Danio rerio: one gene and its partners. Each later gene encodes a partner of the first gene's protein in a complex. Links are inferred from orthologs where the notes say so. Each region holds a gene or a part of one and is shown on either strand. Other genes may lie near its edges.

Region 1 (3,714 bases):
GTATTTATTTGAGGGAGACTACAGGGTTGTTCTTGTGATTTTGGTGGGGTATTTTTTCACATTTACATGCAAGTTCTGTGAGAATTGAATGCAAGTCTTTGTACATGAGGCCCCTGGAAAATTCTAAAGAATTCGCATGACATTCTGAGCCAAAAACATGGACAGAGAAAGACATTCAATGCTTTCAGAGGCTCTCTTTCTCCCTTAAAAGAGCTATTGATATCAGTCAATGCTCGCTACACATGCAGCTTCTTCTTCAAAAAATCAGTAATCAAAAATCAGTATGGTCACACAGTGTGTGAAATATAACCCCACACTGCCATGCCAACAATTTATGCAAATCATCTCATGAATAATCAGCCATTACTAAAATGGCAGAGCAACAAGATTTTTTAAAACCGTACTAATTACTTGAAATTATTACATAGAGTTAACCAGTTAATCATCGGAGAGACATTGATGAAGTAGCAGTGCCAGACTATTTAGAAATCCTTTATTATAAAGGCGGAGATTCAGGACAGTTTAACATGCTGAGACTGATAAAAGATCCTACATAACTAACAAGTCATCTGTCTCTGTCATACAGGTATGCACCTGAAAAAAGAGCCAGTGACAGTGGAAAGAGAAAACTGATGAGGGGAGAGACTGAGAAAGTAAAGAAAGAGAGGGAGACGGAGAGAGACTGACCTTTCCTGAGCACTCTTTTCTTGGCCCTGATGTCCGTCTCCAGCTCAGCGGCTCTGATGTAGATGCGCACAGACTGAGGGAGGTGTCGCACTGCTTGGGCAACTACTGCTTTCGCTGTGTCTCCAGGCTGCAGACGCGCAGCTTCTAGCCAAACATCCTCACTCTGAACAGACAAAACACAACACGGGTTATACACGCATGCCCACACACAGTGAAGCTGATGCACACATATAAAACACTCATCAGGGCCGTACAATGTATCATTTTATCATCGATATCACAATGTGAGAGTACGCAATGCTAGTCAAGTCACAGTCCAGTTGGGTTTTTAGTTGACCAGACGATATAGTTCATAGCACTGTGGAATCATTGTTTATTCATTGGATCAAAGTTTAACCTCAGAGTGAAGCTTTCAAATGCATCTGTAATTTCTTTCATCATTTACTAATCCTTTCCTGGTTTCAAACAATTATGAGTTTATTTTTTTTCTGTTGAACATGAATATTAAAAAAAGTTGGAAGCCTGTAACCACTGACTTCCATAATTTTGTTTTTTCCTACTATGGAAGTCAATGGTTTTCAGCTTTCTTCAACAATATATAATTTTATCTTCAACAGAAGCATGAAATTATTTTCGAAAGGTTTTAGGGCTGTCAAAGTCTAAAGGTTTTTTCCTGAAACTTAAAAAACCTCCATCTCCTGTTAACATTTACATGCTTAACCACTGATTAGTCGTTGTGCTCAGATGCTCAACAGAAATGGCTATAATTGGCTGTACAGGTCATCAGTTCATCACTCTTCACCGCTGTTCACCAAGTGCAAGCACAGAGTCACAGGCACTAGTGATCCATCAGATTGCTCATATGTCAGCACATAGACAGATCTGCTGATTGACACAGCTTTCAAATGCTCCACAGCCAACCACAGTCATTTCTGTTGAGCATGAACACAGTGGCTAATCAGCAATGTTTAAGAACGTGCTCAACAGTGATCATATTTAAAATACAGATTGGTATCAAACGATATTTCTAACAACCCTAAAAAGTTTAGAACAACTTGAGGAAGTGTAAAGAGAGTGAGCAAATTTAGATTTTTGGCTGAACTATCCCTTTAAGTCAGGGGTGTCCAAACTCGGTCCTGGAGGGCAGGTGTTCTGAAGAGTTTAGCTCCAACCTTATTTAAACACACATGAACCAGCTAATCAAGCTCTTACTAGATACACTAGAAACATCCTGGCAGGTGGTTTGTAGCAAGTTGGAGCTAAACTCAGCAGGACACCGGCGCTCCAGGACCGAGTTTGGACATCCCTGCTTTAAGTGAAAGTGAAACCAGCAATACTGGCCAGTGCAGCAGCACAAAATAACCTTTTTGTGGTTCATATATTTGGCCAGTTTTCTCTTTTTTTGCAATATTCAGCAGCAAAAAATCTGTGCATCTCAAAATGAAACCATACATTTAAACCATATTAGAAGAGTTCAGATGCAAAAACCTCTAAAAGCCATTTGAAATTTCCTTCAAAAATAATCAATTTTATCAGGGTCCTGTGTGTAGGTTCAGTAAATTTAAGTTTATGGCAAAGAATACACTCTTTTAAAGGTCCTTAAAATAAAATAACTCAACATAAACATAAGAGTCTGAGAAAAATGCTCATTTTCAATGGATATTTCAGACAGAACTTAGAGGTGTTCGCATCTGAACTCTTCATATGTATGCATTTTGTTTATGCAGGCTACCAGGAACATGGCAGACATGGCAGCACACCAACTTATGATTGGCAGAGCTCAAGTTCCTTCAAATAAACTGCACAAACAGAAGCACTACACCAGTTTGTTTTAACTGAACCAAATGTACCAAGACACTTGTGTACCCAATGTACTCAAGACACTCAAACAGGCCTTTTTTCTATTATTAAATTTCAAAGCTAGCACAACTGTCTGTAAAGTGGTAACAAGACTTTAATTTACAATTTTATGTACAAATTTCTCCACTCCTGATAATTTTCATAACAAAAGCCATAGCCTGCTGGCTGTCCAAATCAGCAATTTCATTTGGATATATTTTATACCCTAGGGAAAAAGCAACAATTCACTTCTGACAGAACATAACATATTAATTATTTAATCAGCAGATGTAATAACAAAAACAGACAGGTGCAAAAAATTGGGCACCCTAACAGAATAATAACTTCAATGTTTTGTACAGCCAACTTATGCTGAAATAAAAGCCTGTTGTTGATTCTTATTGCCAAGGATAAGTCCCTGAACTCTTGCTGAAGGCATTTTGGTCCATTCTTCCCTGCAAAATTTCACCAGTTCAGTCAGGTTTGATGGGTGCAAACCATAAACTGCCCTTTCCAAACCAACCCATAGATTCTCAATAATGTTTAAGTCTGGGGACTGGGATGGCCATATCAGAACATTGTATCATGTCGGAGCATGAATTCCATGGTAGATCTGCAACTGTGTTTTGGGTCATTGTCCTGCTGAAACATACAACCCTGCCGTAACTTCAGCCTCTTGACTGATTCCTAAACATTGGTCTTCAGAATCTGCTGATACTGGGTAAAATCCATGCAACCTTTGCTGTAATTCTGACAAGGTTTCTAGTACATGTGCTTGCCACACTTCCCCACAGAATGATGGACCCTCCACCATATTTTACAGCAGGGAGCAGGTTCTTCTCCTGAAATGCTTTGTTCTTTTTCCACCATGCAAAGCGCCTATGGTTGTGGCATCTGTCTACAGAATATTTTTCTAAAATGATTCAGGCTTGTCCAGATGAGCCTTTGCATACCTCAAACGAATCTTCTAGTTGGCAGAATGCAGAGAAGTCTTCCTCTGCATCACCTTCCATTAAGCTGTTCTTTGTGAAGAGTGCGCTGAACTGTGGAACTATCTACAATGACATTATTAGCAGCAAGTTGTTCCTGGAGCTCTTTGCAGGTGGTCTGTGGTTTGTTTGTGACCATTCTAACCATTCTTCGCCCTTTGCCTTTCAGATATTTTTTCTTGGTCAAACACATCTTTCC
Region 2 (4,389 bases), on another chromosome or scaffold:
TAATATTGATTTAGACAATAAAATGCATGGAAATCAAAAAGTTTGATAACAAATATCCAAGTGTAAGAAAATGGTGGCAATACTAAAGGAAGGTTTCAGACTAAAAGCCTTAGATCAAGAGCAGGATACAGCAACTGAGGTAAAGTTGGTTTTATATTCGCACATTTATTTAACGACAACTTGCGACACGCTCCCTATATTGTTTCCCACGGTACTTTGAATATTTGATTTGAAATCATAAGTAAGTTTGACATGAAAACAACATAGTACTATCTATTTGACTGTGAACAATGTTGTACTTTTATAGTCATTTGCTGATATGATTTTACTATTTAGAATTTTCAAAGAATACTTTTCTAAAATTATATTATTAAGAAAAAAAGTGAGAATATGTGAATACAGGGCTCAACAATAAGGACTGCCCAATGGCCCGGGGCTAGTGTGCGAGATGCTAGGGACATTAAACAGGACCGTTACTGGCCTAATCAGGTCTTAAAATTAAGAAACTGTTATTTCAAGCCTTTAAATACTACCTTCTCAGTGAAGTTGTAAACACCATATTGCTTTTCGCTTCCTCTTATGTGATTGGATGATGTGAGCATGTTATTTTTTTCTAAAACTTGGTAAAAACCAGTACAGCAAAGAGGCGGCAACTTCAAATTATTAAGCTAAAAGAAAACGTCTGTTTCTAATGTCTTGGGTACAACATGACGAAAAAAATGTGATGTTCTGCACAGTTTGCCGCAAGTTTGGCAAGTCAGCCACATTTTGTTAAATAATTTTAAAGTGCAATAAAATACCTGCACATTTTCTATTATTTTTTTGTTTGTTTGTTTGTCTGCATTACACTATAAATTTTGCTTATTTTAGATTTATTAGCATTAAATGCTACATTCGCAGATGTTATTTTTGACAGAACATTTAAAATATGTGGCTAGGATATTTTTTATTACAGCTTTTCTCAGTCGCTTTTGTGCGTTTCTCACAAAACTAGTGCATTTCTGCACAACAGTTAATGCATTTCTCAAAACAATTAGTTTAAACTGCAAAACCTAGATGATAAACTGCAAAAATGCGTCACATGCTCAAAATGGATAGTTCATTCCTCAAAAGCAAGTATTGATGTTAATCAAAGTGCCAGTATCATCAAAATGAAAAGTCCTGACACCATTGTTTATGAACAAGATAGTCACATGGCTTTGTCCTGTTTTCATGATGACAGTTTACTCTGTACATTTTTTCAATGCAAAAAAAGTCAGATTTTGTTGACACTTCCTGAAAATGCTCAAGACAACACTGCATACTATTTGCACAGCCATTTGAAAACTACAGTAAAGTTAGACATCACTGCATTTAGTGAGGAATCGGAGTACAACAAACTGAATATGTATGTTTCACATTTTAACTGTATATACTCTTTGCAATTCTAATTTATTCACACCATTGTGCAAAAGAATACATACACCCTTATTTACAACAAACAAACTCCCTTTGGGTAGAGTTGTGCACAACTGTACACAATATTGCAAAACATATAGGAACTGAAACTAAAATACACACAAGTCTATAAATCAATCATGAAATTGTTCAATTTTTTAGACATTATCAGGAAAATAAAGATTTAATTTTTTTTATAAAATATTGCTTAACAGATTTTGACAACTAGTTCAACATTTTTGTATGTAATGACTCAAGTAATGAAATGAAAACTATTTGTTTTATATGGAATGACTACTCAGAATTCACAAGTTTAGTTGACATAAGCAGATGATAATGTTATAAATATCAGAGAGTTGTATGAAAGTAATTGATGCATGTCCAAAAGCATCTGCAATGTGTTGGAAGGAATGAGAAACTGCTAATAGGATGTGCACAAATGACTAATTATTTTGAGAAATGCATTAACTGTTGTGCAAATGTAAATAGTGCTGTGAGAAATGCACCAAAGCCACTGAGAAAAACTGTAACTTGTTATATTTGGTCAGACCAGTGAAAAGTTTCGGGCCAGTAAAAAAAAAATCTTTAGCGTTGAATCCTGGAATATAAAACTTACTTTACCTGACACAACTTTATCCATATTTAACTTGCATGTGGCAGTGAACTTGTAATAAATTACAATAAGGAAATTATGTTGTTTTCTTCAAGATTGACTTCCAAACCATCCTATTTTATTACCTCCAACACAACAAATATGATCAGTCCCTTCATGCATACCCTCGATAACTTGTAAATGATAAATGTAAAATACAAACATAAAAACAACCGCATATTTCAGTTTGTACCTCTGTAATCGACACCAGAGTTCAGTTTCACCACCACTGGCCTCCCAATGATCTGCTTCAGGAAATCACTTGGTGTCTGCTTTCGGAGACTCATTTTAGCTGAAAATGAATGACAATGAAGTTTATGAATAGCTCTTATAAAAATGAACCATGGCTGCATTGTTAACAAAAAGGATGTGACAATAACAACAAAACGTACTAAAGACGTTTATTTTAAACCACATAAGGGGTTTCCAGAAGAGGTTTAACCTTATTTGTTTGGAAATTGCCGGTGAACGTTATCGATAAGCGGCTAATTTAGCATGCTAGCATTCCAACCCAACGTATCACTTAATAAACGTGTCATCGTATATCTAGCAAGGTAACTACAGTGCTGCAGTTTTTTAAAACCCCACTAACGTCGAATGCATTCTTATATTAAAGCATACAACATTTAACGTTATTTACCTATGTCGTTTAGCAACGTTAACCGCACGTTTCGACTGAGCGACTGCTGACCAATGAGCTCGTCCGCTTATTCTAGTTCCATGGTGTGTACACCATTCAGCCAACCAGATGCTTCGTTAGAAAGCCAGTGTACGGAAGCCGACAAGATAGCGTTATCTCCTTTGACAAAGAATGCGTAGTGGAAAAAAGAGCCAGATCGACGGTGGCAGTAAAGACGGGGAATCGTCGCTTTTGCTACATTAGGACATAAAATCGTTAGACAAACAGAAGAATGACAGATGAGCTGATAAAAATGGACGAACAAACAGACGTATAGAAACCTAGACTGACAGACAGACAGACAGACAGACAGACAGACAGACAGACAGACAGACAGACAGACAGACAGACAGATAGATAGATAGATAGATAGATAGATAGATAGATAGATAGATAGATAGATAGATAGTCTGTCTGTTTGTCAAAGTATTTTGTGTACATTGTGTATAATAAGCAACTTCAGGTTGTAGTTGAGGTGTGGCTAAAACATGTAGGAAAAAAGAAGATCCTGTATAGCCAAAAGAGAGAGAGGGAGATGGGGAAGAAAAAGCTGTCTTTTGTTCACAGGCAGAGGAGGGGATGCACCTGAGAGACAGAATCATAAAGCACTTCTGGCGCATCCAGACAGTTTGCTTGTTAGCAGGGCATTGGTAGCCCTGAGGAGGCTAGAGGTTAATTTGGTATCTGGTGCTGTGTTAAACTAAGGTCAGCGCTACAAGTCCTTAAGTCATAAACAAGTGTGGTTAAGAGCCGTGTACACACCTAGGCACGAGTTAATGAATATTCAATGAGTATTTTTCCCCTTGTTGCCAGAGTTCACATCCTAAAGGAGGGTTAAGAGAGAAAAATGTGATCTAATGCATTTTCCTATCAAAGCAATCATTCATTTAAGGAAAAAAAGGAAAGAAATTGAACGAGTTTACAGATTTTTCGGTTGTGGCACACAGCACCGGGATTTTCAGTTGTAAACAAATATGGAATATCATGACAAGGAAGCTGACACAAGCACTATGATGCTTTCTTGACTACTGGAAAAGCGTGAATGGCTTGGCTTGTTAAGCGATACTGAATAAAACACAATAGAGCTCTACAGACACAGAAAGCATTTCACAAGCTTTTTATCTTTCAGTTTTGCCTGTTGCTTGGTAGAAGATGATTCTGTCCGTCTCACATAAAGAGGGCATTTTAACCTTAATGTGCTGTCCTTCAAAAAGTTTTCAACTTAACATTTTGTAGACTGATGTGAATGTGCATAAAATTTTGACTGGGAACAAATAAAAAAAGCATTTGCTTTTCCTCAGTCAGCACAGACAATCCACTCTCACCGCAAGCCTGTGAATAACCCCACAGCTCCTATGAAAACAGTAGCGTGTTGGTAATAACCGCCCAGTGATGCCAGATGGGACTGTTTTCACCCTGCCTTCAAGACGCTGGTGAGCTCAGATGGACAGTGGCACAGTTGATTTGCTGGTACAACCCGCCTCACCTTTCTAAGCCCCCAAAGACCTGAGAGGGAGTGGAGGAAAAATGAAAAGATTACAGAGGCAGCTTCACTAGGGTTGGGGGTGGGTCAGGCTGAGGGGTGTCAGATGCGAGGGGAGGGGGCTCCGTCGGTTGCCGC
Region 3 (4,262 bases), on another chromosome or scaffold:
CCAATTTTCCTTGCATCTTGAATACATGAGTGTACACTTCACATTCAAGTACACTTCACATTCAATTGATTTTTTTTTTTTTTTAATCAATGATAATACTTGGAATTATTCTTTAATAATAATGTCACAAAATATTAAACGGTTTCAATAGTGATAAAAATTTGCTAATACCATTGAACTTCTAACTAAGCATACTTTAAAAAAAGTTTCTAAAAAGATTAGAAAATGCCTTCTCTATGCAGTATAGTTTATAGAATAATTAGAATACAGTATAAATAGTCTAATGGTATAAAACTTGAGCTTTAGTTAATCTCTAGAACGAAAGTGCTTTTTTTATTGATAGTTTATCCTAATAAAACAAACACCTAAAATTTTGGAGACAGGATACTGATCGTTTGAAACTCGAACAGCATTTAGAACAATAGAAGGTTGAGTAAATGTTGACAATTAAAATTTTTGAGGGAACTATCCTTTAAGTCAAAGCAGAAGAGAATGCATGAATACACTGTGCAAAGACAATTAAGCAAATATTTAATATTTTTGTTTAGGAAATATACTTACAATTCTGTGACATCCTCTAGGACCATGTCTGATGTAAAGCATCAAGGAAATGTACAACATCGCAAAGATAACATTACATAGACATTTACATTTCTCTGTTGACAACATGTGATGTAGTGTATTGTATTTTTTTATTTAATGCCATGTCAGCAATGCAAGGCTATTTTCATGGCAAGAACATTTCAATAATAAATATACAATTAAAAAACAAAAACAAATGAATACATAAATTAAATACATCTTTAAATGCTAATACATTTTTTTATAATTTTTTTACTATTTTCCAGGTGTCATTTTGCTAAAAATGTCCTGAAGAGACATCATTTGATAAAAAAAAAAAAAAAGCCTTCTGGAATTGTTAAAAGCAGGACAATCCAGTAAAATCTGTTTTACTGTAAAAGAAAGTGTGATGTGCAAATATTGAGCAGGGTCTTCACATTTGAGCAAAAAAAAAAAGCATGGATCATTCTTGCATGTCCAATACAACATCTAGTAAAAATCACTAAATCAAATTTAGTCTTAAAATGACTAAAAATTCAGTTTGAGATTTCAGGTTGTATTTCATACAGTTTATTATTTCTCAATGCATCCTACTCCTCTTGCCACTTATTTAAAAAGTAAACGTTGATAAAAGATTTCATCTCTAAAAGAGGAATTTGGCATTCGTTCACAACTTATTTCAAAGCATCCTTAGCTGCTGGATCAAGCTCGCTCGTTTCCTGAAAGCCCAACATGTCCCGGAACCCAGCAAAAAAAAAAAAAAAAAAATATGAAAAAAAATGGTTTTGTAAATGGTGAACTTTAGTTATAATATCATTAATCAAAGGATGATCATTTTCTGAAGATTCCATCACTTGGAGGCATGATTTGGAGTCTGTAAATATGATAGAGTTCTTTTGTTGGACATTTTCTTATATTAAAATGCTAAAACTAAAGCACAGGCTAATGAACATTCTTTAGGCAGACTGATTCCACAACGTTGTTGTTCAGTAACCATTGCTGCCGTTATGCCATTTTCCACCCTGGAAGAGCAACCGCTGCGTAAAACATATGCTAAATAAGTTGGCGAGTCATTCCGCTGTGGCGACCCCAGATTAATAAACGGACTAAGGGAAATAAAGGGAAATCTTATGTGTAACTATATCTTTAGCTAGCAGTATTTATAAAAAAAAAAAAAAAAAAAAAGTTGAATCCAAAACTAAATTGTAAACATCACAAATATTTGACAGTGTTTTGTTTATTTTTTTACCGCCAGTAGGTAAAGGATACTGACAAAGTCGTCAAACCCAAGCAGAGTTCCCACAATCTCTTTATCGTTCTTCATAACGATGTGAATCCGAGAGCCAATGCACTTATCCACCAGCTCTGAAAGACAGCACACAATCCCCATCATAAACACAGTCACATCATTGGCTGTTAAAGGAAACATTTTGAGTGGTCAGTGTGATATACAACTGTAAAACCTTGTAAAGAAATTCAATTTATGTTAAACGTTACTTCAACAACTATACAGCCAAGGTAAGTTTTTAACGAACCACGTTTAATAAAATTTAAAATTTCTTTGGCTTTAACACTAGGTGTGGGATTGAGTAATATGTTAATACCAAATTCATTCTTTAAAGTACTAATTTTAGGCTTATTTGACTCAACAACAAAAAAATCCTGCGAGTAAAGAGTGGAGTGGCTTTTAATCATTTGACACGGTATCTCTAATGTCGTAACTCATACATAAAATTTTATTTTCAGAGTATCTTACTTATAAATACATCTTAATGGAAATTGTTAATGATAAATGTGTTCCCAAGTCATAATTACAATATTTTAAACTCCAACAGAGGGAAACATATTAGTGATTTATTTTTTTCGCCCACACTAACTAAATGAACTGGCTTCCGTTTATATATAATCAATCACACATTGATGTATAAATTTGTGAAATTAAATATTTAAGTTAAAATAAAAACACATTGACATGATTAGGGCCACATCTTTTGTGCACAGGTGTATTCAATTAGATAAAAAAGCAAAGTGAGTTACGAACGTGACTGATTGGCATCTCTGCCCCGTACAAAAACACAAAAGTTATGTCAGTAAATGATAAGCAATTTTAAAGAAAGTGAAACAAACCGAGTGGTAAAAGCTGCGAAGGATTCGTTGCTGTGATTGCCGCCATTTTGATAACAGACCTGAATAATCGGGACCGGAAGCCAATTACAAGCATGGATAATCGATATCAGCACACATCGATAGCATCTTCTTCTTCTTCTTCTTTCTGTTTTATGGCGACTAACAATTAAAAGCATTATCGCCACCTACTGTACCGAATCTTACTCCGATGAAAGGGCAACAAAAAGAAACGAGGAGGGAGGGAAAGGGGGGAAAAAAACACCTTGGATGTTTCATATTGTCCAATCTTTGCATCTAGACCACATACTCATGTCAGCACTGCGTGTTCAGCTCCTCTAACATAAAGGGCCTTTATGACAATGATTGAGAATACTCTCATCCATAAATATAAGACTATAATAACCTAAATCCGAATACTCTATATACCTAATAAACGCTCTATATACTTGCCAATCTATTATACCTTTTCCTAGAATAATTTTATATATTGTTTTATCTTCCCCACACTGACTGAATAACATATTGCGATGTTTATTATATTTGCTACATATAAATAGTGCATAATCCACATTTTCAGTTACACCACATACATCACATTTCCCATCCTCATGTAAACCCATTAACGCAAGTGTTGCATTTAACCCTGTGTGTCCCAATCTTAATCTTGATAACCACACCTCTTCCTTCCTATTTCTTCCTTGATTTAGTGTTGTCCCTACTGTCTGTATAATACTATAGTGCCATCTTCCAGTATTACTATTATCCCATCTAATTTGCCATTTATTTATTAGTTTTTCCTTTAAAATCGATTTTGCCTCTCTTTTCCCCAGAGGTACATTTACTTCCTCTTGCTTATTTAGTGCTTCCTTTGCTAATTTGTCAGCAACTTCATTACCAGATACCCCAATATGTGATGGAACCCAGCAGAAATAAACGACTACTCCTATTTCCTTTAATCTATATAAAGATAAATAGATTTCTGTTATTAAATCCTCTCTATCTGATTTTGAGTTTGCTATACTAACTAAGGCTGAAGATGAATCTGAACAGATTACTACTTTGTTTACATCGATAGCATGAGAGGGGCTTGGCTTTTTGTACAGCCTGTGGCTGTAACATTAGAGCAGTGTTACCCAAGTTTTTTCTTTTAAAGGGCATGTCAGTCAGTCAAAATGTTGCATCATATAGGCTACCAAACTGTATGTCACAGTAATTTGTCACGGTAATTTGGAGTTTTATAGCTTGATTATAGCTTGATTAATTTTTCCATCTCCCAGTATCTCCTCTCTGATGGAATGACGGACCAAATCGGAAACCAAAACACAGAACACAGTACACTTCCACAATAGGTTTCCATTTTTTGTAAAACTTGACAATACTGTAACTGTTCCACTTCCAGAGTAAAAAAAAATCATTATAGGCCTAAGGTTGTATTCAGACTTGAAACATCAATACCCAGGTAACAAGGAATTCTGGCCCAGATTTGGTATAAAGCTGGCATAGCCAATATGCAGCCTTTATGATGCAAGCTAAGATTGCATCAATCAGCGATACAGTGTCAGACACAATGCACT
Region 4 (4,185 bases), on another chromosome or scaffold:
TAACTTTAGATGCCATGGTTTCTAAAACAAAATCTGTCAGGGTTATCTTTCTCATCTTCAGCGCTTTACAATTTTCGCGGTAGTAGCCCTCTCTGTCGTCCGAAGCCAGAAGGCGACTGAGTGATTAACAGCTGATATTAACCAATCATTCGCATTCAGTGCTAGAGCAGTGGTGGGCCAATAAGAAGAGCGCAAAGGCAGGGCAAGCATTACGGACTTGGATTTGTTTACTGCAACAAGTTGACATGATAACTGTTTTAAACCATTCCCGAGCGCTGCATTTTTGCAGACAAAGAGCAGACAAACTGGTTGCACACAACAATTTTAAGCTCTCGCAGAAATGCTCCCAAATATATTTTAAGGTCGCATAGATAAAATTTCGGGCGCATATGCGACCAAAATAGTCGCAATTTCGAGCCCTGTTAATGCAAATATGGTAAATAAAAGAAAATAAATATTTAAAGAAATGAATATTAAAATAATAAAAGTATATTTATGTCAACATTTATCCTTTTTGGTTGTGCTGTTTAATTCACACAAAGGAAGTTGTATTCAGTACATTTTTGGTCATCCATAAGTTTATTTACCTCTGTAAAATACAAAACATTTACATTTTTCTGATCCCTTATCTCTGTGATTTGTTATTAAAATCAAACAGATTTTTCAATATACTGTTCATATATACATACGTACTGTTAAAATAACACATTAGAACTGCTGTAGACTATTAGTTTAGACTTGTATTTTAGATCTAAATACAATTACAATATAAATATTATTTTAATCCTCTGTATGTTTCCTTTCTTTTACTAAACACTTTACATACTACACTAATGCGTGTAGTCAATTATTAGGATAAAACATTTGATTATTACATTTTAATAGATTTTATCAATTCACTTTTACATGTTTTTATCCTTTATTTTCTCCAAAAAATCCACAGACCAAATTCATGTGACTTTAATAACAGAACATAATACATTTAGAGACATAATTGAACTTGAGTCTGTATAAAATGTAGTATTTTCCCTCAAGGGCAGAATAACTAGAGCAGTGGTTCTCAAACGTTTTTCATCAAGTACCACCTCAGAAAAAAATTGTCTCTCCAAGTACCACCAAAATGAGCAGTATTGAGATACAATAGCCTTGTAGGCCCAGTAAAGCAGCTACAACTCTGCACAGTTAAAAAAACGTGGCAGATTACATGAGAAATATAGGCTATATGTCATATGACATTATATACATCATTTTTATCAATTTTGAAATGTGTGTAGCATGTACATGACATATTTTATTCCTCCACGTACCACTAGAAGGAAGCCTGCGTACCACTAGTGGTACACGTACCACAGTTTGAGAACCACTGAACTAGAGTATATAATATGTACAATGTGGTAGTTTCTCTCATGTGCAGTATAAATAGAGTATATAATAACTACAATGTAGTATTTTCCCTCACATGCAGTATAACTAGAGTATATAATATTTATATAAGTATTTTCCCTCATGTGCAGTTGTAGTTTAATTAGTATATATATATATATATATATATATATATATATATATATATATATATATATATATATATATATATATATAAATAGTATTCCCAGAGATGGGTTGCGGCTGGAAATGCATCTGCTGTCTAAAAACTTGCTGGATAAGTTGGCGGTTCATTCCGCTGTGGCGACCCCGGATTAATAAAGGGACTAAGCCGACTAGAAAATGAATGAATGAACATAAATATAATAATGATAAATATAATATGCCTAATGTTTGCCTCAGGTGCAGGATAACTAGAGTATAATCTGTTTAATTTAGTTTTTTCTCTCAAGCGCAGTCTAACTAGAGCAGGGGTGGCCAATCCTGTTCCTGGAGATCTACCTTTGCTTTGTTTGAAACAATATTTTTTGTCATTATTAGTGCAAACTTATATGAGCGATTATATCATTAAATGTGGAGGGGGGCCTAACAATATTTTCCAGGGAAAAAGGGGGTCTCAGGCAAAAAAAGGTTGGGAACCAGTGAACTAGAGTATATACTAAAGTAGTATTTCTCCCGCACATGCAGTCTAACTATAATATTTAATGTTTAATTTAGAATTTTCCCTCACGTGAAGGCTAACAATATATCTATAAAAGTACTTTACCTCAAGTGCAATTTAATAATGTTTAATGCAGCATTTTCCCTCACATGCAGATTAACTAGAGTCTATAATATGTTTAATGTAGTATTTTCCCTCACGTGCAGTATAACTGTATAATGTTTAATGTAGTATGTTCCCTCACGTGCAGTATAATTAGTGTAACTTATATATACACAATGTAACTTAGTATTTTCTTGCACGTGCAATGTAACTAACTTTATGTAACATTATATAATGGTTAATGTAGTATTTTGAATCAGGTTTAGTATAACGTTATATAATATGCTTAAGGTTGTATTTTTTCCAATAACGTACAGTAGAAACGTGTATTTAATGTAGTATTTTCCCCTCGTATGCAGTATATTATGTGGCATTTCCCTCACGTGCAGTATAACTAACTTAGAGTATGTAATGTAGTATTCCCCTCACATGCAGTCTGCCACGCAGTTCTCTGTCATTCCTCATCTTTACATAGATCCTCTCATCCAGACTGAGCCGAATCAGATCCAGAGGCTCTTCTACGGTGTTGGTGGTCTGTTGCTGTAAAGTAAATTTCAGTGATGTATTTTATTTGAATGAAAATGTCCATGCAAACAATCGTCGTAGTTACAAGCTGCTTTAGCATAGGCTACCCGTGTGTTCAACTAGTTAAAAATAAACACAATTAATACGATTAACCTCCGCGATAATCAAACAGCTAACGAAATATTTATACAAAGCAAAAATTGCAAACCTGCTCAGCGTCGTCCGCCATCTTTCAAATCTACCCAGAATGCATTTTCCGTTTCTCTCGCGAACAAATCATTAGACGGAAAATGCATCTGCTTCCTGTTAGACATAGATATATACGTTAGATGTCGCCTACCCTGTTGTTGTCTATTGGAAGGAATGCGTCAATAGATCCACCATGTTAGTACAGGGAACCGCTCCTTTGAAATGAATGCAAGCTGTGACCATCCAAAGCCAAAGATATACACATAGGCTATGATCGGGAGTTTTCCCGGATGTCACTGTGCAATTATTTATTTATTTATTTTTTTTAAATTACGAAAATTATAATTTTTCATCCCTTTTCTACATTGATGGATCAGTGATCGCACAGACATTCCTGAAAAAAGCTTGTGTTTGTGAGTATGGAAGTACTATTCCCCCTCCCTGTTAGATTTGAAACACATCTCCTCCTGCTTCCTTTAAATTCCGCATTTTCATATCTGGGAAAGCCCATCTCACATTTCCTGCAAAGGAAAATTAGACAATTTAGTTGTATAGTGAAAGTTGTGAGGCTGATCATCTGGATTGCATTGTTATCAAGAGTAGGCTATTTGGTGTTTATTTATATGCAATTTTGCATATGAAATTGCAACTTTATCAATTAGGCAATGTTGGGGTCACATCAGTCCAACCTTTAACAAAACAGTCACAACTGGACTTGATTTGGTTGCTTTATATGTGTAAAAAAAAAAAAGAAAAAAAAAACTTATGGTGTTTGAGGTCAAACTGACCACACTGAAAAAAAATGAGAAAAGTGGAAAAAAAATTAAGATTATTTTTTTTAAATGAATTTTAAACCCATTATAAATTTTAAAAAGTTTAACATTTCTGCAAAGGCCTGGGTCTAGAGCACAAATAAAAATTGGAAACAAAAACTTTCTGAATATTAAAATTTTCTAAATATTTTCTTTTGCATGTCACACAACATGACAGTAAATTATTATAATATTTCTTTAAGAAATAAATAACAAGTTTAGCTTGCTGCACTTGAAATTCAACTAAAAGCAAATGCTGAGAATGTGTGACAGTCAGTTAAATATATATATATATATATATATATATATATATATATATATATATATATATATATATATATATATATATATATATATATATATATTAAAAAATAGATGCAGTAACCTGTGCCTGTGTTGCTATTCAGTTATGTAGATCGACTGTGTAAGCTGAGAAAATATTTTATAGCCTACCATTCCTTCTAACGCTGAAGGACTACTGAGACATTCAAGCATGGGATGGGTCCTAAAGCA
Region 5 (4,466 bases), on another chromosome or scaffold:
TGAAGAACACACACTATCTATAATTATGTATTGATCATCAACACTGAAGATCTCAATTTAAAACACACATTACCTAAAACCAACAGTCAGTTTTCTGAAAATAAATAACTTGCACTTTTGAAAACAAAATAAATTATTTTCTGTGCTTTTCATATTAAAAGTATAAAACTAGCCATATCTCTTTTAAATAAAATAGCTCTTGTATATCCTGTAAATAATATTTTGAACAGCAATTGCATTTCTTGCATCTTTTGTAAACAAATATTTTAATGTAAACAATAGCTTAATGGAAAATATGCCGTCTCAAGGCATCTCTGGCGCAGCTTACAATCATTGCCAATGCAATGCAAAGTAAGGCTCAAAAATTACACAATATGACTGCAAACACTGTAATGAATTTAAAAAAAAAGGTAACTTTTTTTAAAATAACTAACCTTGAGCTTTGAGAATAGCAGCTTTTCCTCTACCGGCTCCTGCTCCTTGGTTTTTGTTTTTCATGCTCTTCAACATGGGGGCGTTTTTCAACATGTCAGGCAGAATGAGAAAGCGGATTTTGCTGCCACGGATGTAGACCTGCTCGAGCTGTGACACTCTGCCATCTCGATAGGTCACTGTAATGTTGGACATCTGATTCGCAGCACAACAGAAACGCAGTCAGTTGCATGACTCGAGACAACAGACATTAAAAGAATGCGATTTTAGTGGGATAAACTGTTCTTCAGTTCAGCAGTACCTGGCAGTTCATGTTATCCTCTGCTTCGATCAGTTTTCCCCTGTACACTTCACCTGTGTTTGTCTCACAGGTCACAATGTGACCCTCTGCTTCATGCAGGACTTTGATGGGTACGCCAATAGACATGTTTTGAACTGTGGGACAAAAAAAACAAAATTACCAAAAAAATATTATCTATACATCTATATATCTATCTATGTGTGTGTGTGTGTGTGTATATATATGTGTGTGTGTGTGTATGTGTGTGTGTGTGTGTGTGTGTGTGTGTGTATGTGTGTGTGTGTGTGTGTGTGTGTGTGTGTGTGTGGTGTATGTATGTATGTATGTGTATATATATATATATATATATATATATATATATATATATATATATATATATATATATATATATATATATATATAGACAACAGACACTGACCAATGGTTATAAAAGGGATAGTTCTTTCAAAGTGAAAATTTGCTGATAATTCAACCTCATCCCATCCACAATATTGACGACAACATGCACATCATTATGTCACCGGGAGACCTTAATGAAAAGGCTAAACATGTGCACAGGCTGGGGGTTTAAGGTAATACTGTACATAATGCTCAGTTTCTTCCACAGACTGATGCTGTAAATGCCCCCCAAACACAGTTGTTGTGTGTCCTATTTAATGCAAATGAGCTACTGCTTGTAAGAGGGTGGAGCATTTACAGCATGCGTCTCGTCTCGGGCACACAAACCCTTTCTTTGGGTTTATCCGATGACTGCTGCACTCATGTGACATTACAGTTCTTCATATTAAGGAGAGTTTGTTATTTGTTTGCATTTTTTACATTGTCAGGTCAAATTCCTGCTATACTATTTGTTGCCTGTGTACTAAACTTTTATTTAGCATCTTTACCCTCTTACTGCTCTAAATCTATCAAATAAAGTTTAGGATTTTTTCCATCTTACCAACCAAAACACACACGGAAATGCATTAAGATCAGTTCAGTGTATGTTTCTTTCAGATGAAACGGCTCAGACTTACATTTTAGTCAAACCTATTTTTGAGCAATGTTGCTCGGCAATATTGCAGAGTGATTCTGCTTAGCTACTTTCCTATTGATAATGGGTATCAAAATTGTATTTGGATCCTTCATTAGCTGTCCTGTGTCTTACTTGGTTTCTCAATGATAGCATCACTACAACATCTTCCAACAACCATGCTCAAAATTGTTCTGGTATCATCCCCTTAATGTCTTTGATATATATATATATATATATCAGTAAGCATGGGAGGAGCTCGTAACGTCACTGAATCTGAAGTAGACTGCTTCTGATTAATGAAGAATGTGTAAAAAGTGAGTGTATATTACCATTACAGCCTTTTTGCTTATACTGTCGAAATCAGAGTGTAGTTTTAACTCAAATATATAGTTATAACACATTTAACTTTAGCTTTTGACTGTATATGTTTTGTGAATATCAAAGGTTACCCTTTGACTTGGATTTTATTTATAAGAGCCAGGTTTAGTTTTATGAAACAAAAAATAACTCCCAAAGTCACCTCTTAAATAGAAAAAAATAATATGTCATATTTTTTGAGTAATTTAAAATAACCGACTCGTTAGAACGATTTATTATACCTTTTTTGCTTTTGATTCAATAAAATGAACCGACTCTTACGAATCATTCGTTTAAGAATCATGTTCTAAACATGTAACGTTAGCTGGAAAGAATCCACGCTAGAATATGAAACACCATAAAATCATTTGGCTACGGTACTTGTAAAAACTGACTTATAACGTTACTGAACTCAATAACAGGATGAAGCGATAGACATTAATGAATATCCAAGATTGATCTCTCAAACGAGTCGCGTGAATGCAAACAATGAATGACCGAAATATATGTTCCTCTACTAAATAATCGAAAAAGGACTGTATATTTTAGCACAGAACCACGCAAAATACCCCACGTAGTTATCAGGTTATAATCATAAAGCATTACAGTACCTTGAATCTGCAGATTCGTTGAAACACAGCAGCGGAACAACGTGAGCTTGTGCGACGTTTTCCCGCTCCCACAATGCACCTGAAAGCAAAAGCCCCGCCCTTTCCTGAAAACCAGTTGCATCCTGGGAGGTGAAGTCCGTATTAAAACTACGCAGCAAACATCTCAAGACTCGCACACAAGAGGGCAGCATCGAATTGTGCATTTTACTTAAAATAATTTAATTTAGTGTTTTAAATCTGAGTCAAATTAGTGTCACATTCATAATAAACAGTTAATCTAAGTAATTTGATTTAATTTTAAATATTCATATTGTAATTAGTTTGTTAAATCTATCTTTGAAATCCAATATATGAGAAGAACTGTAAATAAAATCGATAGAATGAACCTATTAAAACAGTTTTTTTTAAATATTGTATATTGTATTATATACAGCTATGATATAATATATAAGATGTTTATTTTACTTTTATTACAATTATTGAATTATTCACATTGTTAAAAACAATTGAATTTAATATAATGTCAATTTTATCTTTCAAATTAGTATAGCAATATTCATTCATTCATTCATTCATTCATTCATTCATTCATTCATTCACTTTCCTTCGGGTTAGTTCCTTTATTCATTAGGGGTCACCACAGCGGAATAAAACGCCAACTTATCGTACATATGTTTTACACAGGGGATGCCCTTTCAGCTGCAACCCAGTACTGGGAAACACCCAAACACACTCATCCACACTCAAACACTACGGCCAATTTAGTTTATTCAATTCACCTAGAGGAAACCCACACCAACACGTGGAGAACGTGCAAACTCCACACAGAAATGCCAACTGACCCAGCCAAAAATCATAATTTCATTATTTCATACATTAAAAATATATAAGTAATTACCATAATACACTGTAAAAAATTTGTTGCTGTTTTAAATTTTTAAGTTGAATCAATTTAATTTTAGTAATTTCAACTTACATCAATCAAACTGATTTAAAGGGGACTTTTTATGGCCCTTTTTACAAGATATAAAGTTTGTGAAATCTTTAAAAGTCTCTGATGTCGTTTTGGTTACTGTCGCTTTAAATTCAAATGATATTGTGTTCCCAGCCCTTTTTTAAAAAGGGGAGCCACAAATGCCTGTGTGTCAGCATAGTGGCAGATTCAAAAACAAGACTAATGTAATATGCTAATGAGGGACAGATTGTCACTACAAAGAGAGAATGTCAATCAAAGTTTTTCTGCAGACTAAAATTAATATATTTTTACCATTAGAAGGTGATTATATTTACAGACTGTTCCACACAACTGTTTAGACCTCTTATAAAGGGAATTTTTGCATAATAGGTCCCCATGAAGTTAAAATTGCTAACGTAAAAAAATTAACAAAAATGAACGCTGTTGTGATGTTTGGATCAAAAATATATATAAAATGGATCAAAAATATGCTGTTGAAGTCATAACTATTAGCCCCCCTTTGATTTTTTTTTCTTTTTTAAATATTTCCCAAATGATTTTTAACAGAGCAAAGAAATTTTCAAAGTATGTCTGATAATATTTTATCTTTTGGAGAAAGTCTTATTTTCTTTATTTCAGCTAGAATAAAAGCAGTTTTAAATTTTTTAAAAACAATTTTAAGGTCAAAATTATTAGCCACTTTAAGCTATATATATTTTTTGGATAGTCTACAAAACAAACCATCGTTATACAATAACTTGCCTAATTACCCTAACCTGCCAACATAATTAACCC
Region 6 (4,379 bases), on another chromosome or scaffold:
TCTCGATGTGCTTTTAGCTTTGATTTTTGTGCAAAATAACAAAAAATTAACATTACAAAAAACATGTTAGTGTCCATTTTAACCATACAAGAGTAAAATTCTTAAACCGTTTATTGCTATTATTATTTTTAATATTAAGAAATGCTTAAATGACATTATTTGATTTGAAATTTAGAAGAAAAAAAGAAATGTTTTCAAACATGTACAGACAAATACAAATATAGAGTTTTCAAGGGGTCTCTTTATTTTTTCCCATAGATAGATAGATAGTTAGATAGATATTTATAAAATTTTATATAAGTTTCATTTCAAAAAGTTTATATTTTTGAAATAAACACCAAACAGTATTAATATTTGACTCAGTGAAGAACCAATAAGAAATTTTTGTCCTGAGGTTGACTAAATCATCAGTAATTATTGACTTTAGCCTGTCTATCACTTTAACAACTGCAACATCTGAACATTATTATGAATTATAACCTCTTACCGTGGGTTTTCTTTGTCCTGTTCGCAAATGCACTGTTCAAGTAAGTCTATAAATTTTTGTGGGAATGATGTGAAGTCTATTAAAAGCCCTTGTTGTACTTTTAAGCTGTGAAGAAGAGCAAATAAAAACGATTACACAGAATATAATCACATAGAAGCCTAATAGCAAAGTGTTGAAAATAAATATGGCTCATTGATGAAATGACACTTTTAATACCACAATACCTTTGAAAATCCTCCTCTGATATGATAAGGTTGTATAAAAAGTAAAGATCAGTATCATCAGTCAGCCGTACAACTAAATCCTGTTGATCAAAAATTTAAAAAAAGTTATAAGACCACATAAAACATGCTTAAAGGCATAAATATGGTTGTACACATGTTAATAACAAACCTTTCTGTGAACAGGGCTGGATGGTAACTGCAGTTCAATGCTAACGCGAATAACCGAACGCCTGTAGTAACAAAAACAACATATATAAACACATATAGACCCTTACAGACTTCGAAATGTTAATAATTACAGACAAAATAAAGCCAAAATTCATACCATAAATCAATTTAAGTTAGGCATTGTGTTCAAAAACAAGACAATCAACACAAACCTCTCATCGGTATCTTTACTCTTCACCAGCACCTGCAACCGCTTGTTAAAAAGTAATTCCGTCATTCCTAATTCATTCACAAAGCAACGATAATAATTAAAAATCGTGTAATCCTGTTTTAAAGATGTTATTTAGGTTGTTGAAAGACTCATTTGTTTTTCGCGCTTCACTCCCGCGTTTGTCCGTTTCCAACCGGAAGTGAGAAACACTTCAACCTAATCACGCGTATCATCGTATTTCAACATGTTTTTGTTTTTATAAATCGTATAATATAGATATAAACATTTAAAGCTGTATATACTGTGTAGTTGTGCGTGAATAAAGCTGATAAAATTGAAAACATTTGATATCAGAGTTCACCTGCGCGCGTTGTGATTGGCCGAGAGGTAGACGTCAAACGTGAACCCGGAGTGGGCGGGGCGTAGAGGAGTTTTGAACATGGCGGTGAGTAGCGCAAACGTTTCCACACCGTTCACATTATAAACACTTTTAAGGACAAACGGCGTTATAAACAAACATATAAGCACCTGAATATATCCTACACTCTTGATATTTATGTTGTTACACATTAGGGTGTGCTGGTAATTGTAAATGTGATGTGTGGTGTATTTTTGTGCTAAGCTACGAGTCTGATATTTATTATAGAGGCCTGGAGATTGTTATATAATATGTTTTTGGATCCTCAGGACAAAGACAAGAAAAAGAAGGAGAGTATTTTTGATTTGTCGAAATACATCGACAAACATATACGTGTAAAGTTTCAAGGAGGTCGCGAAGGTGAGGGAGTTGCTTTATGAAATTAATTATGAATTTAAATGTTTCACATTATGATATTTAAATGAATTGTGGTAAATTTGACACTAGTGTTTCCTATTTTCAGCAAGTGGCGTCTTAAAAGGCTTCGACCCGTTGTTGAATCTTGTGTTGGACGGCACCATTGAATACATGCGAGGTAAAATGTGCTAATGTAAACCGAATATGTACCAAATTATGTTCTGCATTAAATTTCTCACAGTATTAATGTTAGTGTGGTTTGTTTTGAACAAATTTTAGTGTAAATGCTGCAATTTAAATTATAAAATTAATCAATTTATTAAATTATAAATTATATAAAGCAACATACAAACTCTTGTGGGTTGACTGATATATAAATGCATCTAAATCAACCCAAAGAGGACATGATGCCATGATATTAAACATAAAAAGGCAGAATGCTCCAGCATAGCTATTTTTGTCAGCATAACAATGTTGCTCCTTACCGTTCAGTTCAGGCATCAGAAACAGTCTCAGCAGATCTTCATTTGGGTGTGTGTGAGCCAGAGGAAATTCTGGTGTTGGTTTGACACATTTAATATGGTTTTCTGAGAGAGTTTAAATGCACTTGAAGTTAAATAGTTCACCCTAAAAAAATGAATACTGTCATTGTTAGGCATGGGCTGGTATAAGATTCTGACGGTTGATAACCTTAGGTTGAAATATCACAGTTACACAATATCATGTTATTGTACATACTGCTCCAAAATATTTTATTTTTAAATGTCTGAGTAAAAAAAAAACTTTTCCCCCATTGAACATGGTTTATATTTTTTAACATTTAAAATATTTTGAAACTATAATGTCAGGCTAAATAATTTATTGTTTATTAATTGTTGAATGTCATTGACTTCTGCTGTCTTAATTAGTTTCAAAAGCACAGATTTCTTTTCAACTTGAAAAGGCATCTTTGGATATCTTTCTTTTCTTTGGATATAAAAAAAATCATCTACACTGTTCAGCTCTACAGCATGCTGGATGTTGGTTTATAAGAGATTTGTTTTTCAGATGTTTCCTGAATCATGGTAACTTGTGATGTGGATGGTCCTTTTCTATTGTTGCCCAAAAAAACTCAATAAAATAGTCGTAAAAAAAAAACTTACAAATACCTTGAGAACGGTATAACAGACAATTTTAACGTTTTTAAAACCTTGACTTTTCAAACCGCGATAAACCTTAAAACAGTTATTGTCCCACGCCTAGTCATTGAATACTCACCCTTTATATGTTTCAAACCTTTTTGAGTTTCTTTCTTCTGTTAAACACAAAAGAAGATATTTTGAAAAATGCTGAAATCTAGTAGTGAAACGGTTAGTTTTCGGATAAACTATAACTAAAAAAAAAACAACAACAGGTAAATAGAAAAACACAGATTGAGAAAGCTGAGACACATATTCCTGAATGTGATAATATGCACCGAAATGTGTCGGGGGACCTGAAAATGTAATGAACCCGACCCTCTGCTTCCTGTTTAGAGGTGGTGGTGTTGTCAAAGAGCTGAGTGTTTTACTTTAACGTCCTAGTTGTATGATTCCCTGGTGTTTGGATAATTTTAGCTTTAAATGCTGACAACACCACTGTCTCTAAAAAGAAAGCTGCCCCAAAGGTCCCCCAAAACATTTCTATGTGCATATTTTGGAAGTTGCATTCACGTTACTAAACTAATGACGATTAATTCTCAGTTTGTAAGTGTTTTTCTATTTGCATGTTTACACTGCATTTGTCCTCTCTAGGGCACCGTATTTAACTGATTAAAAAATGTGTGCATGCACATACAGCAAACAAGTGTATCTAAACATACAGAATTGTTTTGAAAATTTAAAGTCACAGAATCCACCGCGGTGACTGAAGCTCTGCACATGACTTTTGGTCAGCGGAGAAATTAAAATGGTCGTGCCCAACTGAGTCTGGTTCTCTCAAGGTTTTTTTTCTTCACTCCTATCAGGTGAAGTTTTTTTCCCCTCTCCGCTGTCGCCACTGGCTCGCATGGTTCAGGATTGGTAGAGCTACGCATTGATGAATTTGCTCTTCAGTGTTTGAACTCTCAGTAATGATTTTAAATCACACTGAACTGAGCTAAACTGAACTGAACTGAACTTAAACACTAAAATCTGAACTACACTGTTCCGGTTACTATGACCATTAATGTGAAGCTGCTTTGACACAATCTACATTGTAAAAGCGCTATACAAATAAAGCTGAATAAGCTGAATTGAATGTCATAAATGCAGCTGCTTTTCTGTCAAAAATCAGAGTATGAAAGCTTGACAAACTAGGACTATGTATAATTTTTTTGTTTGGTCCAAACAAACTGACTAAACTACAAGTGTTAACACATCCGAAAATACGAAAAAACCCCGCCCTAAGAGTAAAGACATCTGTGTTTGACTATTATCATTATATCAATGGTTTTATATGATTTCTGACCACATTTATTTCCCACACAGATCCTGATGACCAGTATAAACTGACCGA
Region 7 (4,294 bases), on another chromosome or scaffold:
TAAAAACGACAACAAATGTTTTCATTACTTTCCTTTTTTAAGTTAATCAGTTTAACTTAACATATTTGTCATTTGACTTATAGAAATGTAGATGACAATTTATTTTGAACTAAAACACCTAAACATATTTTTGTAGTGTGGTCTACATTCGCTTTGATAAAGCCATGATTACTTTATTAGCGCATAAAAGTGCCTAAAAAACACAAAACAAAGGCACTGGTATATTTTAGGAACAGTAACTACGAGTTTCTTTTACTCTAAACAACTTACTTTTTTGTTTGGGACTAGGCTGTAAACTACAGGTGTCAAATTCAGTTCCTGGGGGGGCTGCAGCTCTGCACTGTTTAGTTCAGTTTAAGTAAGCACAACCAGATTAAAGTAATTAAATCTTTCGGGCTTCTTTGAAACCCAACCCTGCTCCAATACACTTGGAACTGAACTGTGCAGGGCTGCAGCACTCCAGGAATTGAGTTTGACACCTCTGCTAAACTATCCATTCACCTTAACCCAAGGGTGTCCAAACTCAATCTTGGAGGGCCGGTGTCCTGGAGATTTTAGCTCCAACCTGCCTCAACACATCTGCAATTATGTTTTTAGTAAGAGCTTGATTAGCTAGCCCTGGTGTGTCTGATTGGGTATGGAACTAAACTTTGCAGGACACCAGCCCTACAGGACCGAGTTTGGACATGCCTGCCTAAACCAAAACACCAGCATTCCACGAACATAATTTGTAAAATGCTGTCAGCTGAACTCCAACAATGGACGATTTTTTCCACCAAAAGGAAAGTGTGAAAACAGAGGAAAATACTTTATTTTTGCATCAATGTGTGAACCTAACTAAAAGTCATTGGTATGCAGTACAGAACTTTACCAACACTCATTAAAAGCACACAACCACTAACTTGTGAAGTAAAAAAAAAAAAACAGTAAATCACACCCTCAATAACAGGCTTCACATGACGTAAAAATGAAAGAGAAAAAAAAAACTTTACATGTTTTAGGTAAGAAAAACATTTAAATCAACAAAACTCCACAGATGATGCTTCTGAACATTGGAACAAAACCAAACTATTCTCAAATATAAACATTATTGTTTCTGTTGTGTAGCTTCTTTGCGTGCAGCATCCTGTAGTAGCTGTGTGTCCACTTCATCTGCAGGAAGCTGAACGTATCGCACCACTGATCCACGAATGAAGCAGTTCTTCACAGACAACTACAACAAAACAATATTAGAGTCATCTATATACACCAAAGTTCTCCTTGTTGAGCACCTACATCACTATGACAATTCATAAATCACAGACTTAATAACCTGATCTACATTAATTTAGGAATCAATTCAATTATCAGGGTTCCCTCTTTAACCCTTTAGCTGCCTGCTCTATCAAATGGTTGACCGTATTTTCACCGTTTTAAATAATGGTTTTCACTACACAGCATTGTTGGTTTACAAAAAAAAATCCTGTTGCAATTCTACACTTGCTTTCTAGTTAGTTTTTTTGACAATAAAACCAAAGCAATGTTATATGAGAATCTGAAAATATTTTATTGCATATTTCAAAAAATAAAGATGACTTAGTATTCAAAAAAAAATTTTATTTTGAATATTCTTTAAAATAAATTGGTCCTACACTTGCTATTTTCAGATTTTTCATAGTATTAATTTCTGTACTTTTACCATAAACCAATATATCAACCATGACATGAACATAACAGGCTTCTGTAGTGCTTATAAAAAATTGTAATATTAAATTAAAAATATATTGAAATGGTTTTAGCCATTTTATTACATTCATTTAATAGCCACTATGAGAACAACAAATGATAATTTACTTAATATAAAAAAAAAATACTTGCGGTTTGCATGGCTGTAAATATCAAATATATTTTAATAAAGAAAAGCTAAAATGTAAAGTAACAAACAAAAAATCCCTGTTATTCCATGAATCTGACAAAAATATATCAACATTTCCTAAATTTCAATGTCTGAAATGAACCTTTTAAAATTCCATGACATTGATAAAGATATTAGACCCAAGATTATGAGTGTAATTTTCATTTCATCCATTTCTCACCATGTGCGGATATTTCTCTGGATCAGTAACACTGATATCTGTCAGTTTGATGTTCAGGTACTGTGAGGGAAGAACAAATGACAAGATTAACTTAATCCTAAATCGCCCAATATTTGTTTATATTAATAAACGTGTGGAGTCAGTTTCCGTACCTGATCAACTGAATGTAATGTTCCACATATGCTGCAAAATAGATGTGTTCATAGTTTTACGAGCTGGCACATACATTATAAAATATGTATATTCAATTTCTAATTATATATATAATATTTGTAAAAGAAAGGTGAGCACTCACCTCAAGTCATTCTTGAGCTCCACCACAACATCTTTGCCAACCAAAGACTTGAAAAACGAGTAGAAGAGCTGAGAATAAACATTTGAAGGAATTACTCTCAAAATATGAGGCGGACAGCAAATAAGACATCGATAAAACGATTGAATCAAGTTTTATCAACAGACCAAATGAGAAATGTCAACAGCAAATAACACTGCTTTCTAAATTACGCAGGCAAATGAAATACCAAGACTTTAATATAATAGGAGTCAGCCAGAGTTGTTTCTGTTGGGCATTTAATTAAGGGGATAATCCTTGCTTGAGAATGTTGTTTTATTTGGCTATGAAGAAAGCTAGCGTTAGCTGTTAGCATGAAGCATTGTTTGTCTTTCTCGCGAACACAGTGGTCAAAAAAACCTAAATATGTTAAACAAATGGTCGTAGCACGTTTATTAATTCCTTAAACGTAAATTACTGTATGATATTGCTAAATAACAACACTTACCATTTTCACGCGGCTTTGTGCTTTAGATCACATACGTCATCAAAAAGCTGCCGGGTCTTTCACTCTGTGCTTCTATTGGCTAGAAGAATGAAGACGTAAAAATCCCATTGGTCGCGAAATTGTTGGCGTTTTGTTCTGTTTTTGCGTCATTTGTACTCATCTCAGTAAATTATTCCGCAATCGTTCATCACACAAAAGAGATTAAAAGGCGCATGTTCAATGGATGTGAAATATTTTCTTAAAACAGTCAACTTTATGCCCGAAGAGGTACATGACATGTCTGACACAGAGCTTGCTGATACACGTACATGGCTCCTCTTTTCTGGCAATTCCCTCTTTCGTCAGCAGATGGAGACAAATAATAATAAAGCACAGTCCAGGGCTCAGGTTAATCCTCTGCGTTATCCCCATTTATAAAACAAAAAAGCAGTCCACTTACAAAACGCTATATTGTAAAACAAAACAAAACCTCCACGACATGCTAATGATTATAATGTTTTTCACGATTATGTATTTATGTGCATCCAAAAAATGTAAATTCAGCCAATTTAATCAATTTACTTGTTTAAAACCATCTTGATCTTTCCATATTTTGAAGAACGTTGGGAACCTGTAACCATTGACTTTAATAGTATGACAAACAAATACTATGAATGTCAGTGCTTACAAGTTTTCAACATTTCTGAAAATAAAAATGGATTTTGGATTCTCTATAATTTAAAGATAAATGTTCCTAAACATATAGAGCCTTCTTATAACATTATGCTTTAATATGCATTCTCCTGTTTTTAAAAGCAAGCATTCTGAAAATTACCTAGAATGAATATAAGCAGGGATGGGCAGTATTTATGATAGGGTTGATGGAAATGGCTTAATGTTTTGTATTAAAAATACATTAATGTCTTTTATTTTTGTAGTTTAAAATATTGTAAAATACTTTGATGCTAAATGTTTGTCACTGAAACAAACAACATAACAATAAGTCCTACAATAAGTCCTACAAAAGGGACTAAGCCGAAAAGACAATGAATGAATAAATGAGTGGCGATTCCGATGCTGTTTCAAATGCCAGTAGTTGATCTGCAGATGCACTGTACTGTTAATGAAAAAGAAAGATGTACTGTATGCCTAAACATGTAAAAGTGACAACATGAGAAACGCACATTTAATAATTAAAAACTTCTGACAGGTTATACAGAAGGAACATGATATAATATATGAAAAGTTTATTTGCAAAAAAAGATAATTTTTTGAAAGTTTCAGAAATCATGTTTTTACACTGAGTATTAAAGAATCAGTTTAATGGTGAAGGGACTGATCAAATGGGCTTATTAATGAAAGGTTTGCCAACAAATATCATGTTCCTATTTAAAAATATTTTGTAGAATTTTTTAAAATACAAAAATACTGTATTTTATTTTGATACATTTTGTGGCTGAG

Evidence for each region.
Region 2: prpf6 (region 1) and lsm6 share a complex: the UniProt entries of both Homo sapiens proteins name them as parts of the U4/U6-U5 tri-snRNP complex. The link is inferred for Danio rerio from reciprocal best matches to the Homo sapiens genes PRPF6 and LSM6.
Region 3: prpf6 (region 1) and lsm5 share a complex: the UniProt entries of both Homo sapiens proteins name them as parts of the U4/U6-U5 tri-snRNP complex. The link is inferred for Danio rerio from reciprocal best matches to the Homo sapiens genes PRPF6 and LSM5.
Region 4: prpf6 (region 1) and lsm3 share a complex: the UniProt entries of both Homo sapiens proteins name them as parts of the U4/U6-U5 tri-snRNP complex. The link is inferred for Danio rerio from reciprocal best matches to the Homo sapiens genes PRPF6 and LSM3.
Region 5: prpf6 (region 1) and snrpd3l share a complex: the UniProt entries of both Homo sapiens proteins name them as parts of the U4/U6-U5 tri-snRNP complex. The link is inferred for Danio rerio from reciprocal best matches to the Homo sapiens genes PRPF6 and SNRPD3.
Region 6: prpf6 (region 1) and lsm7 share a complex: the UniProt entries of both Homo sapiens proteins name them as parts of the U4/U6-U5 tri-snRNP complex. The link is inferred for Danio rerio from reciprocal best matches to the Homo sapiens genes PRPF6 and LSM7.
Region 7: prpf6 (region 1) and smx5 share a complex: the UniProt entries of both Homo sapiens proteins name them as parts of the U4/U6-U5 tri-snRNP complex. The link is inferred for Danio rerio from reciprocal best matches to the Homo sapiens genes PRPF6 and LSM2.

What each region holds. Positions count from the first base shown.
Region 1 is NC_133198.1:7,068,982-7,072,695, forward strand, and holds part of prpf6 (pre-mRNA-processing factor 6), read right to left. Parts: exon of another isoform or gene 1,983-3,714; intron 1,783-1,982; exon of another isoform or gene 851-1,782; coding exon 688-850; exon of another isoform or gene 587-687; intron 1-586. UniProt on the Homo sapiens protein: Involved in pre-mRNA splicing as component of the U4/U6-U5 tri-snRNP complex, one of the building blocks of the spliceosome.
Region 2 is NC_133176.1:39,344,389-39,348,777, reverse strand, and holds the start of lsm6 (U6 snRNA-associated Sm-like protein LSm6), read right to left. Parts: upstream 2,824-4,389; 5' UTR 2,730-2,823; exon of another isoform or gene 2,507-2,729; coding exon of another isoform or gene 2,482-2,506; intron 2,382-2,481; coding exon of another isoform or gene 2,377-2,381; coding exon 2,283-2,376; intron 1-2,282. UniProt on the Homo sapiens protein: Plays a role in pre-mRNA splicing as component of the U4/U6-U5 tri-snRNP complex that is involved in spliceosome assembly, and as component of the precatalytic spliceosome (spliceosome B complex).
Region 3 is NC_133187.1:13,906,732-13,910,993, forward strand, and holds the start of lsm5 (U6 snRNA-associated Sm-like protein LSm5), read right to left. Parts: upstream 2,817-4,262; 5' UTR 2,735-2,816; coding exon 2,689-2,734; intron 1,927-2,688; coding exon 1,831-1,926; intron 590-1,830; coding exon 562-589; intron 1-561. UniProt on the Homo sapiens protein: Plays a role in pre-mRNA splicing as component of the U4/U6-U5 tri-snRNP complex that is involved in spliceosome assembly, and as component of the precatalytic spliceosome (spliceosome B complex).
Region 4 is NC_133197.1:33,572,272-33,576,456, forward strand, and holds the start of lsm3 (U6 snRNA-associated Sm-like protein LSm3), read right to left. Parts: upstream 2,964-4,185; 5' UTR 2,901-2,963; coding exon 2,880-2,900; intron 2,687-2,879; coding exon 2,576-2,686; intron 1-2,575. UniProt on the Homo sapiens protein: Plays a role in pre-mRNA splicing as component of the U4/U6-U5 tri-snRNP complex that is involved in spliceosome assembly, and as component of the precatalytic spliceosome (spliceosome B complex).
Region 5 is NC_133196.1:14,699,893-14,704,358, reverse strand, and holds the start of snrpd3l (small nuclear ribonucleoprotein D3 polypeptide, like), read right to left. Parts: upstream 2,834-4,466; 5' UTR 2,717-2,833; intron 868-2,716; 5' UTR 860-867; coding exon 734-859; intron 628-733; coding exon 435-627; intron 1-434. UniProt on the Homo sapiens protein: Plays a role in pre-mRNA splicing as a core component of the spliceosomal U1, U2, U4 and U5 small nuclear ribonucleoproteins (snRNPs), the building blocks of the spliceosome.
Region 6 is NC_133197.1:10,400,892-10,405,270, forward strand, and holds the start of lsm7 (U6 snRNA-associated Sm-like protein LSm7), read left to right. Parts: upstream 1-1,514; 5' UTR 1,515-1,529; coding exon 1,530-1,535; intron 1,536-1,777; coding exon 1,778-1,868; intron 1,869-1,971; coding exon 1,972-2,043; intron 2,044-4,351; coding exon 4,352-4,379. Other genes in the region: sass6 (spindle assembly abnormal protein 6 homolog), read right to left, coding at 488-592, 712-791, 881-941, 1,092-1,156. UniProt on the Homo sapiens protein: Plays a role in pre-mRNA splicing as component of the U4/U6-U5 tri-snRNP complex that is involved in spliceosome assembly, and as component of the precatalytic spliceosome (spliceosome B complex).
Region 7 is NC_133181.1:30,702,549-30,706,842, reverse strand, and holds smx5 (smx5), read right to left. Parts: upstream 2,934-4,294; 5' UTR 2,858-2,933; coding exon 2,855-2,857; intron 2,439-2,854; coding exon 2,371-2,438; intron 2,259-2,370; coding exon 2,228-2,258; intron 2,136-2,227; coding exon 2,076-2,135; intron 1,214-2,075; coding exon 1,088-1,213; 3' UTR 153-1,087; downstream 1-152. UniProt on the Homo sapiens protein: Plays a role in pre-mRNA splicing as component of the U4/U6-U5 tri-snRNP complex that is involved in spliceosome assembly, and as component of the precatalytic spliceosome (spliceosome B complex).